3 linked regions of the Cricetulus griseus genome follow. The protein of the gene in region 1 interacts with the protein of each later gene in a pairwise test. Links are inferred from orthologs where the notes say so. Each region holds a gene or a part of one and is shown in the gene's direction. Other genes may lie near its edges.

Region 1 (3,745 bases):
TTCTCTGCCCACCAGCCTAGGCTTATCCCTCTGCTGCTTAGCTATTGGCCTTTCAGCTTTTTATTAGACCAATTAGGAGCCTTGGGCACACAAGTTGAAATAGCAACACATCTTTACATAGTTAACAAATATAACAATTTTTGCCTAGTTAAATAATATTCCACAACACACAGTGGGCTTGGGCTTCTCAGATCAGTTAGATTTAATCAAGACAGTTCCCCCACAAGCCAACCTGATCATGAAGAATCTTGCTAAGTGGTTCTAGGTTGTGTCAAGTTGGCCGTTAAAACCAATCTGATGAAAGGAAAGCAGAAGTCACAGGGTTGCAAAAGGGTGTAGTTAAGTTTGTATCCTTTCCCTGTAAATGGAATTTCTGGTGAGATTGCTAAAAAATAGTATGTTTCCAGCCTGGAAGTAAGAAAAGCCTTAAACAATCGGTAATTCTCTGCTAGAGATGGCTTCAGCTGGATGTAGAGGTGACAGGGTCCTGTCTCTTCCCAAGTCCCTCAAAGGTGCCTGGCTTTTCTATTCTGCCTTACCACCCACTCCAAATCCCTAGACAAGCCAGGACACTTACTCTAGTAACCATAACGGTACATCCATGGTAAGCGGAAAGGCAGAAGCCTGACATCTCAGTACTCGGAGGCTGATGCAGGGGGATTGCCATAAACTTCCATTTTCCAAGATGGGATTTCTCTCTCTAAGACTAGGTTGTCCGGGCACTGCCTCTGCCTCCCGAGCGCCGGGATTAAAGACAGGGTCACTAACGCCCATGGAGGCGGCGATGGTTTGAGTCTAGCTTGGGCTGGGGGTGGCGGCGCTCGCCTGCACCCGCAGCACCCGGGAGATAGAGGCAGGCGGGTCTCTCAGGAAAACAGCCTAGCAACAGACAGTAGCTCCGATTCCGGGCTGTGACGCAGGGAGCTGCAGCACGTGACCAGCTCCGTGCCACGTGACCCGCCTCGGCGTCACCGGGGTCCGCCACCGCCCCGCCAGGCCCCACGCGGGCCCAGCTCGCGGCGTCTCAGACAGACTTCCGGTCTTCCGGACGCCGCCGAGGTCAGCTTCTCCAACGACCCGGGTGTGCCCGCCCCGTGTGACGCCACTTCCGCTCCGTCGCTTGGCCGGCGCTCAGGCGCACGCGCAGCACGGGCACGCGGAGGCCATGGGTTCCTTCTGCGCAGGCGTCGTGGCCCCGAGGGCGGGTCCTGTGCGCGCCGCGGTGCGCAGGCGCAGCCGTCGGTGGGTCGGGGCTTCGGTCGACTGAGAGGTGAGTTGGGGGGCTCGCCGTGCCCCGAGGGGCGTGGGCGTCGGTGGCTCGGGGTGCGCGGCGCTCGGGAGCCGCTAAGGTAAAGGTGGCTCGGGGCCCGCCCTCCGGCGCCCCACCGGTCACGTGAGCGGGCGGCGCAGCGGGGAAACTGAGTCCGGCGGCGCCCCCGGCGCTCCTTGTGGAGAGAAGGCCGGCGTTTGGGTGTGGGCCCTCCGCATCCTCGGGGTGCCCCGGGCTTCGCCGCTCGCCAGCGTCGTGACCTTGCTCTGTCGGTTTCCCTCCTGTGTCGAGTGGACGTGGTCACCGCTGCCGTTCCGAGCGGTGTGGTGCTTGTCGGGCACCGGGGGGGTGGGAGCGTGGGGTGGAGGGCGAGGGCCTCCGTCTGCCTGCGGTGCATACTGGGGCAGGTGGCTTGCCCTCTCTGGACGGCTGTGAGGCAGGTGTGCTGGCGCACTGGAGGCTGAGGGAGGAGTTCCATGCCAGCCAGGACTGTACACAGGATTCAAAAGAGCTGTGACCAAAAACAAGGGCCCTAGAGAATGGCTCAGGTCCTTGGTCCTTAACCTGTAACTCAGTATTGCATTTGGGAGGGTGTGGCACTTGAATCACCGGGACTTCAGGCCTAGCCTGGGCTATCTGGAGAGTTTCAAGGCCCAGCCTGGGCTATCTGGAGAGTTTCAAGGTCCAGCCTGGGCTACCTAAGAAGTTCAAGTTACATGGACCACATTGTGAGAACAGTTGATTTTAGTTTGTTGAGACAGTTTTTGTGTGTCCCTGGCTGTCCTTGAACTCTCTGTGTAGACAAGGCTGGCCTCAGACTCCCCCCTCTTCCCAGCATTAAAGTGTACCCCACTACACCTGACATCATAATTAATTTTGAAAAGGATTTTAAAATAGCCGGTAGTTCAGTTGTAAGCTGCCTGTCATCCCGTCCGTGGGAGGCTGAGACTGGAAGATGGGAATGAAGTTCGAGGCCGTCTTGAGCTACATAGTAGATCTTTGTCTCTCAAAAACCAGGCCTGCAGTTCCATGCCTTTATTGCCAACACTTGGGTGGCACCGGCAGGTGGATCTCTGAGTTCAAGGCCACCCTGGTCTACAGACAGAAACCGTGTCTCAAAAAAAACCCAAACAAGAAAATGAAAAAACACCACCTCCAATGAAACCAAAACAAGCCAACTGAAATTGTTGTGAATGTCTCTGTCACCCGGAGGGTAAATGTCCCGAAGTTTCCTTAGCTAGCATCCTATAGGCCTGTCAGCCTTGGTGGGGTGCTGGAGAGGACACAGGGTCCCCACTGGCTATTATGCTTTGGTCTGTTCCTGTCTCTGGTTATTTGTTTGAGTGATCTTTCCTTTTTCTGGCTATTCTTGTCCCCAGGAACCCTGGGCAGTGTCTGGGGACACTTGTGATTGCTGTGACTGAAAGGGCTTCAGACTTCTGACACTGAGTGGAGGTCAGGAGCGTGGTCCAGAATGAAGGGTGCTCCTGGTGGGGAGGAGAAGCAGCCGAATTTGGTTCCATACACCCACCCATGTAAAAAGCCATAAGTGGTAATCTCAGTGTGGGAGGTCAGAGACCGACAGGTCACTGGGCCCTCTGGATAGCCAGCCTTACCTTGTTCAACCCCATGTCCCAGGGTCAGACGCTGTTTTCTGTTTTTTATTTTTTTCTTTTTCCCCCCGGAGACAGAGTTTCTCTGTGTATCTTTGTAGACCAGAATGGCCTCAAACTCAGAGAGGTCCGTCCCTCCTGCCTCTGCTGGGATTAAAGGCGTGGCTTGTTTCCATTCAAGACAGGGCTGCTGCTGGGAATAAAGGCAAGCCTCACCATCACCCGGTTAGACACTGTTTCTAAAAAATGAGGTGGTATCTGGAGGAAGGACACCTAGGTTGACTGGAGTGTGAACACTGAAACCGATGCATGCATGAGCATGCCAGTAAAGAAGCATACCTGTAATTCCAGCACTCAAGGGGCAGACACGGGAGGATTGCCTTAGATTTGAGTTTCCCCTGGGGTACATAGTGAGCTCTAGTGTTAAAGATGAAACCCTAGCCCAGTGGCTCATCAGTATTGAGGCATCTGCACAGATTATGTGGGTCCCAAGATTGTGTGTGCACCTACTTTTGTGGGGTAAGGGATTATCTGTGGACTCTGCCCCTGGAGCCACTGTCTGAGGTCCCAGCTGCTGCTTCCTGTCTGGGCATTGGCTCTGTCAGGTGAGTTGTATTGCAAGCCCTTCCTGTTGTTTTGATTTGAAACTGGGTCCCCCTCATTCCAGGGCTATCTGTATGCTGGGTGAACACTGCCCACTGGGACCCAGTCCAGGGACCTCACCAGACTCTTCAATGGATTTGAGCCTTGTGTTCAAGCTGAGAAGTTACCACACTGACCTTGCTTGTAAACTTGTTGGGAGGGGGAAGACAAAGACATACTATAGGCCAGGCTAGCTTTACACTCTAGCAATTGTCCCCCT
Region 2 (3,745 bases), on another chromosome or scaffold:
CTCATGCTCTGCGCTTTTGTTGGTGCACTGGGTGGTGCGGCCTTCCTGGGCACTGCCATGTTCATTGAGGATGACCGCCGACGGGCTCAACTCCACATGCAGGGTCAGTGAGGGCCACTGTCACCCCATATTCACAGTATCACCTGTCAGTCTGTCCATCTGTTGGCTCACAGGTATGCGCCCCACATCTCTTAGTCCACAGCTGTCCCATCCACCCAGGCCCATGCTGCCAGCCACCTGCCAGGGTTGATAGTACCAGCTTCCCAGTACCATCCCACTCAGCTTTCAGTCTGTCTTAAAGTGTATCATCAGGCTTTCTGTCTATACACAGTTCTGAGGACTCTTGCTGCTGTCTCGTCTATGCCCCTCTGCCTGTTTGTCTCCTGTCCCCTTGATGGCTTTTATGTGACTGGCCTTGGCTCCGACCCCTTCCCCACAGGTCTGTTGCATGAGACAGGACCCTCAGATGACCGGATTGTGGTGCCTCAGCGAGGCCGTTCTACCCGGGTCCCTGTGTCCAGCGTGCTCATCTGAGGAGCTGTTGCTCACCCAGCCACAGGTTCACCACAGCTGGCCCTGGGCCCACCCTGGGAGGTGCCCAGGCAGAAGCCATCACCAGGTCCAGGTCCAAGGAAGAAGCCCTGGGATATGTCCCAGCTCCCAAACACTACATGGGCAGCCCAGGGAAGAGATGGGGTTCCAGAAGTGGGGGTTGTCCTGTCTATTAGGGCAGCCCAAGGGGTTTGGTGCTATTTGTAATGGAATAAAATTTGTAAGCAGACTATGACTGGCTGCTTGTCTCTCTGCGGGTGCCATTGGCTTCAGGGAATGTCTGTGGTCTCAGGACTTACTTACCAGGGGCAGTCGGGTCACCCTGTGGGTAAGTCCCTGTCTTCTGCGCTTGGGCCATCTAGAAGGAGGACTGCTCTTTTCTGAGTGAGTTGGTTCGGTGTGACCGTGAGTCACTGTGGTCCCCTGGAAGTTGTTCTCCCAGAAGCAAGCCTGGGAGGTGGAGGCAGTGCTGCCCTTGTTCCACACAGTCCCTGGCAGAACCTCATTAGAGTTCTTGTGCTCAGAGATGGGGAGGCCACAGCTGGCCTGGTTGGCATGTGTCTGCCTTCCTAGTGGAGCAGTTGCCTCATCCTGCAGCCTCAGACCTTTCCTTCACAAGGTCCCTCTGCCTCCTCCCCCTTCCCACAGCTGGGTGGGGGTGAGTGGGCAGGGGGCAGGCGCAGCCGGCTGAGGAGCCTGATGATTTCCTGCCCTCACCACAGCTTCCTGTCGCACGCGGGTGGTGAGGAGGAGAGGCAGGCAAGCGGGGAGCAAGAAAGGGGCAGGTACAGCTGGGCACAGGGATCGTGCTGCTGGTAGCTGGGGCACAGGCCCCAGCTCAGGCTTTAGGACTAGCCTCTTCCAGCACTGAGCTCAACTCAGTCTAGCAAGGAAGTGGGGGTCATTGAACCCCAAAGGAGGACACAGCTGCTTGCCACTGGATCCCAGGCTGGGGCCCACTCAGTCCCACACCCCTGCTGCCACTCTGCCTAGAGGGGCTGCAGTGCAGCAGGGCCTGGGCCAGGTGCTCTGCAGATGGAAGCAGACACTCTGAGCCCCATGGGGCTGGGCCTCCTGCTGCTGCCTGTCCTGGTCACGCTCCTGGCTGCCCTGTGTGTGCGCTGCCGTGAGCTGCCAGGTAAGTGGGGAGCTGTGGAGTACTAGATGCTAGGCACACCATTGGATCCCCATGCCTTCCCCAGCCCCCGGCTTCCTCTAATTGTCCATACTTCAGTCCTGCCTGGGGGGGACGGGACGGGACGGGACGGGACGGGACGGGATGGGACTGTCTTTGCTCCCAGTGCATTCTGATCCTGCCTCATTGGCTCTCTCTCTTCCAGTCTCCTATGACAGTGCTTCCACAGAGAGGTGAGTGTGCAGTCCCATTTCCCTGTGTGTCTTCCCTTTGTTCTGATGAAGGGCTTGGGGCTGGGGCCCTCTTGGCCCTGTACCTAAGCTGCCTCTTTCCTGCCAGTTTTTATCCACGGAGCATCCTCATCAAACCATCTCGTGAGTTCAGTGTCCTTGGCCTTCTTTGAGGGTTCTTGGGAGTGTGCCTTTGTCCCGCTAAGATGCCTGCAGGACTATTGCCTGGGTTGGGGGAAAGTTGGAGCCCCCATGCCTGTTTAGCACATGTTTTTTAGGGGTACATCTGTCCTTAGAGGCCTTGTCACCCGCAGGGGGGTTGTCTGGAGTAATTCCCTCAAGCTTGGTTCTATGTCCTCAGAAACAGGCTTCCCCCGAACAACTGCCACTTCCTATCCTCTTGTTACTTCCTTCCCACCCCTGAGGCAGCCAGACCTGCTCCCCATTCCGTGAGTACCCCTCAGCTCCCTCCCTCTGATCCATTGTGCCTCCTTACCTTTTAGGATGGGGGGGTGGCTTTTTCCCTGTTGTAACCCCTCTTGCCCCCAGATTCCTACTTAGACCTGGTCCCTGACCCTTGACTTCCAGGAGATCCCCACAGCCCCTTGGAGGTTCCCATCAGATGCCGTCTTCCCGGCAGGATTCGGATGATGGTAAGGGCGTACAGGGCTGGAGGGCTGGGGAGAGGGTGTGCAGCCTCAGCTGACTCCATCTTCCTCTCCCTCTCTCTTTGAAGCCAACAGTGTGGCGAGCTACGAGAACCAGGGTGGGTCTAGGGTCTGGGGTACTGGGTGGGGTGGGGAGGCTGGGTCTATCCCAGGTCACGTTGACTTCTCTCTCATTCCTCATAGAGCCAGCCTGTGAGAATGCGGCTGAAGATGAAGATGAGGATGACTACCCCAATGAGGGCTACCTGTGAGTGGGGGGTGGGAGGTGGGAGTGGAAGTTGGTGCCCTTTCTTACCTCCTCATCCCTTCCTTCCAGAGAGGTGCTTCCTGACAGCACCCCTGCCGCCATTCCTGTCGTCTCCTCTGCTCCCGTGCCCAGCAACCCTGGTCTCCGAGACAGCGCCTTCTCCAGTGAGTTAGGGTCTCTGACTACCTCCTTCCGCCATGTGCCGCCGGCTATGCCTCTCTTCCCTCTCATTTCTGCGATCGCCACCCTTCCATTTCCTCCCTCAGATCTTGGACTTCCTGCTCCTCACTTCTGATCACCTTGCTTTTCCTTTTGCCTTCCCTCCCTCTTTGTCTTATCATTTTATCTGTTGTCTAAGAAATTCCCTGACTCTTCTTTAACCTTTCCACTGAAATCGTATTTCTCAGCTGGATGTGTAGGCATGCGCCTTTAACCCTGGCACGAGGGATCTAGGTAGGAGGGTTGGCTTTGAGGCTAGCCTGGACAATACAGTGAGACCCTGTCTCAAAAACCAAAACAGCACTACCACAAACAAAAAGAAAAGAAAAATTCTTTTCTTTTGTCGGAAAACTCTTTTTTGGGGAGGGAGAGGGACGATTCTTGGTGTTCTTTTTTATTTATTTATTTATTTATTTTTGGTTTTTCGAGACAGGGTTTCCCTGTGGCTTTGGAGGCTGTCCTGGAACTAGCTCTTGTAGACCAGGCTGGTCGCGAACTCACAGTGATCCACCTGCCTCTGCCTCCCGAGTGCTGGGATTAAAGGCGTGCGCCACCACTGCCCAGCTTGGTGTCCTTTTTATTAAGTACCCTGTTCTTGTTTCATGGAAGTGATATCGTCTAATGTATCTGTAAGGTCTTTGGTTGGAGGTTGTTTCTCTCTCTGTCTCTGTAGGCCTGTCTCTCACTCACTCAC
Region 3 (3,745 bases), on another chromosome or scaffold:
CTAGATTAGAGAATATTTTGTGGAGCCCAACACCTAATGCACAGCCTTTTCATGTCTCTCTGATTTTCTACAAACTTCCTTGGAGGAATGAATAGGAAAACTCCAGGGACCATGAAACCTCAAGGGTATGGCTGCCTATATAAGACCTGAACCATGAAAACACCAGTTGACATGCCACTGTGGAAGGGAGGAAATCTTATAGGGTCCCCACCCAGATGATGAGATGCAGGAAATTAATGAGAGATGAAGTTTTCCTCATGGGTGAGCCACCTAGCTGGCTATGCAATATTAAGTGGTCACCCATAAAATGTGTGCACATGAACAACACTAAATGTAGTTGGCAGGTTGTAATAATATATCTATTCATATACACACAGAACAGTAATAATTAAAGAACAAGAGGCCAATACCATCTGTTGGTGGTACACACCTTTATTCAAGCACTCAAGAGGCAGAGGCAGGCAGATCTCTTGGAGTTCAAGGTCATCCTGGTTTACAGGGTGAGTTCCAGGACAGCTAGAGCTAGCTGTTTTGATCCCCTACTCCCAATAAAGAAAAAGAAGCCAAGTTTGAGAGGGAGTTCAGGGTAGGGAAAACATTGGAGGAAGTAGAGGGAGGAGGGTAACTATACACACACACACACACACACACACACACACACGTATTTACAAACCAACATGTATGAAATTTAAAAACAAGATCATATGATGTTGAGGCAAGACTCGAACTTTGCAGGTAGGGAAGATTGGGTTGAATTGTACAGAGAAGGGTGGCTCTCTTAAGAATTAGACTCAATTTGGACACACTGGATTTTACACACAATGGGCTGAACACACAGCAGCCATAATTTTTTCTGACATTTGATGCCCATAGTGGATTTAGAGATAGAAAGAATTCCTTTAACAACAGAAATGATACCATAGCTCAGTGCTGATTACAGTGACGAGTGAGAGAATTTATCCCTTTGCTCCAATCCATCTCAATGGTCACTTGTAGCCAGGGATGCAGTTCATTAATTAAGTGTGATTTCAAACTCTTAATCTCAGGACCAGTCCTAAGTCATTTCATGCCTAGGAAACTGATCTCCAAAGAGATTTGCTGAGGGCCAATGCCCTTCTGCGTACAACCTTCATTTATTTAGAGATTGTATTCTGTGTTTCAGTCATGAAATAGGCACTGGGAAAACAGCGGTGCAAATCATTTGGCAGAGATAAATGTCAATTGGTTGAACCATGCGTCATCTGTATTTTGAGAAGAAATTTGCATTGAGCAATAGCTTAGAATTTCAAAATCCCAGAAAGTCCAGGAACTTGAGAAATAGAGGCACATTGCAGTCTCAGCTGAGAGTTCACTTCCTATGTTTCAGCATCAGGTCCTGGTGGCCCTTTTGTGACTGACCCTTACTACTCTTCTCTACCAGTAAGGGCTATAGGGTTTCAGATTTCACAATGCTCAGGGCACAGGTGGACATGTCCCTCTGAATGTCCCTCTGAGGACAACTTCCAAACTACTTCTTTCATTTTCAACTCTCTGGTAGTTACTCTGCTGGCCTCATGGTCCTGTCTGAAGCAGAAAGTCTACCATCTACTTCTGTAGTATCAAGACTTCTGTTCTCTGGCTAAAGCTTCCTGACTATGCAATAGCATGTGGGAGGGGCCAAATACACCCCACTGCAGCCACACCCTCTGGTAAAGATACAAATAGTGATGCTTGGGACTGCTCATCAGAGCCACTCTGCCTTCACCATGAAGTCCAGTACCTTCTTCCCTTTCATGGTGCTCCTTGCTCTGGGGATCCTGGCATCCTGGACTGTGGAAGGAGGCAAAAATGGTGAGTTGGGGTTATTTTGGCCTAGAATGTCAGAGGTGAGGGTTCCTGGTGGTTTTGGTGTCTTCCTTTCTCTAGGCTGTCCTCAGCTTACTCAGGACTTCCTGGTGGCATCCATGTCTTGCTGGGGTCAGAGGTTCCTATGAGGCTTCAAGGCATGGAAGAATGCTCCCTTGATTATTAAACCACCCTGTCAACCCAGGCCTCACTCTCTCTCTGTTCCTGTCCTTTCTGTTTCTGCCTCTGGCTTTAGTTCTCAACATCTCACAGGTTTGTTCCCTTCCTGTTTATTTCTCTTGTCTCCATTACTCCCACTCTCCCCTTCTGTCCTTGGTAATCTAGCTTAGCCATGAGGTGGAAAAACTTGATTGGGAACCCTGTGCCTTTTGTCCTCAGTCTGTGATGTTTTTCCTGTTTACATGTCTGGTTTGACCAAGCCTGTCATATTTGTTTGTTCCTTTTGCTTTCTTCTGCAGTTAATCCCCTTTGTAGTTGTGGGCTACTGGGATGAGGATTTACAGTTTGGAAAGTGGTCCTTTGTCTATGAATTGTGATAGTTGTTCCATGCTCTCCTAACATCATGACATCCTCTTTAGATGCTATCAAAAGTGGTGCCTGCCCTTCTAGAAGGCCTGTCAACTGCCTGAGGAAGGAGAAACCAGAGTGTGATTCTGACTGGCAATGCCCGGGAAATAAGAGGTGCTGCCAATTTAGGTGTGGTTTCAAATGCATTGATCCTCTTCCCATCCGCACTGCAGGTGAGCCAGCAGAGGACCCAGGAGCAGAGGAATGAACCTCAAGACCTAGCACTGAAGGGGATGGGATTTCGGGAAGGGGTCCTCCTAGGCATGCTTGCTTCTAAGAGTGGTTGAATCCAACATGGCATCAGTCAAGGCATCATGCTGCCATCAGCAGGAAAAGCCTCTTGTCTGAGGCAGCCATTCTGTAATGGTTTTGCAAAGAATCATCTGGGCATTCAGCTTGATGGAAGCCGTCAACCCTTTCAGTACCAGACAGCCGGCCACCTGCATTGTCTGGAGGCAGATGTTAGAGGGGAACCAGGTGTTGTTTCAGGGGACATATCTGGGAGTAGGTGATTGAGGTGAGGGGTAAATGGGGGTGATTTTCCTTGCTCAGGCTGAAGAAGGTGGGTTAAAGAAGCAGTGATGTGGTGGCTGAAGTCTAAGACATCTGACCTGTGCTTCTTCTGTCACCAGTGAGGTCGAAGCCTGGCAAGTGCCCAAAGATTCAAGGACAATGTTTGATGCTGAATCCTCCCAATAGGTGTAAGAGGGATGGCGAGTGTGCTGGCAACTATAAGTGTTGCCTGGGCATGTGTGGGAAACTCTGCCTTCTCCCACAGTAAGGTAAGGAGTCAGCTGGGGTGGACAGACTCATTGCTTTTCAGACCTTTTCAGCTTCAAGGCTCTGGAGGTCAGGGCTTATGGCAGGGAGACTGTAACCAACAGCCTCTGTCTGGCTTGTCCTTTAAGGGCGCTGTCCCCTATTTCTTAGGGCAAACACATAGGATTGTCTGTGGTTTTGAATCTACACAGTGTGTCTGGATAAGGGCCATGGGTGAATGACTTTCTGAGTCTCTATCTACAGAATGGAAATGCTGAATTTGAAAATGTTTTGTAAGGCACTGTATGCATTATTCATTGTCCAAGTTATTTGCTTTGTCGTGTCTAGGGTTAAAGCACAAAGCGTAGATATAATTAGAGGGATGTCTAGTTCAATGCTCTGAGTTTTGAATTTTACAATGAACGTGAGACTTGAACTTTTCTCCTGAAATCCACAATCCTCTCACCTCCAGTCCTGCTTTGTTGTTTGACCTCTCTCAGCTGACTTCCTTATGGAGGACCAGAGGGAAATGATTTGTTTGGCTTCTATGTTGAAGGTCTTATCTTATTTTCTC

The links.
Region 2: the proteins of Sgta (region 1) and Lat interact in binary tests that used the Homo sapiens proteins (3 or more experiments, as listed by UniProt). The two-hybrid records come from large-scale screens. The link is inferred for Cricetulus griseus from reciprocal best matches to the Homo sapiens genes SGTA and LAT.
Region 3: the proteins of Sgta (region 1) and Slpi interact in binary tests that used the Homo sapiens proteins (3 or more experiments, as listed by UniProt). The two-hybrid records come from large-scale screens. The link is inferred for Cricetulus griseus from reciprocal best matches to the Homo sapiens genes SGTA and SLPI.

Annotation. Positions count from the first base shown.
Region 1 is NC_048598.1:101,842,574-101,846,318, reverse strand, and holds the start of Sgta (small glutamine-rich tetratricopeptide repeat-containing protein alpha), read left to right. Parts: upstream 1-1,114; 5' UTR 1,115-1,270; intron 1,271-3,745. UniProt on the Homo sapiens protein: Co-chaperone that binds misfolded and hydrophobic patches-containing client proteins in the cytosol. Mediates their targeting to the endoplasmic reticulum but also regulates their sorting to the proteasome when targeting fails.
Region 2 is NC_048596.1:74,438,390-74,442,134, forward strand, and holds the start of Lat (linker for activation of T-cells family member 1), read left to right. Parts: upstream 1-907; 5' UTR 908-1,587; coding exon 1,588-1,690; intron 1,691-1,892; coding exon 1,893-1,920; coding exon of another isoform or gene 1,921-2,026; coding exon 2,027-2,061; intron 2,062-2,278; coding exon 2,279-2,366; intron 2,367-2,505; coding exon 2,506-2,570; intron 2,571-2,653; coding exon 2,654-2,683; intron 2,684-2,768; coding exon 2,769-2,832; intron 2,833-2,901; coding exon 2,902-2,996; intron 2,997-3,745. Other genes in the region: Spns1 (protein spinster homolog 1), read left to right, coding at 1-103, 440-534. UniProt on the Homo sapiens protein: Required for TCR (T-cell antigen receptor)- and pre-TCR-mediated signaling, both in mature T-cells and during their development.
Region 3 is NC_048599.1:15,125,430-15,129,174, forward strand, and holds the start of Slpi (antileukoproteinase), read left to right. Parts: upstream 1-1,360; 5' UTR 1,361-1,706; coding exon 1,707-1,830; intron 1,831-2,423; coding exon 2,424-2,585; intron 2,586-3,044; coding exon 3,045-3,193; 3' UTR 3,194-3,194; intron 3,195-3,745.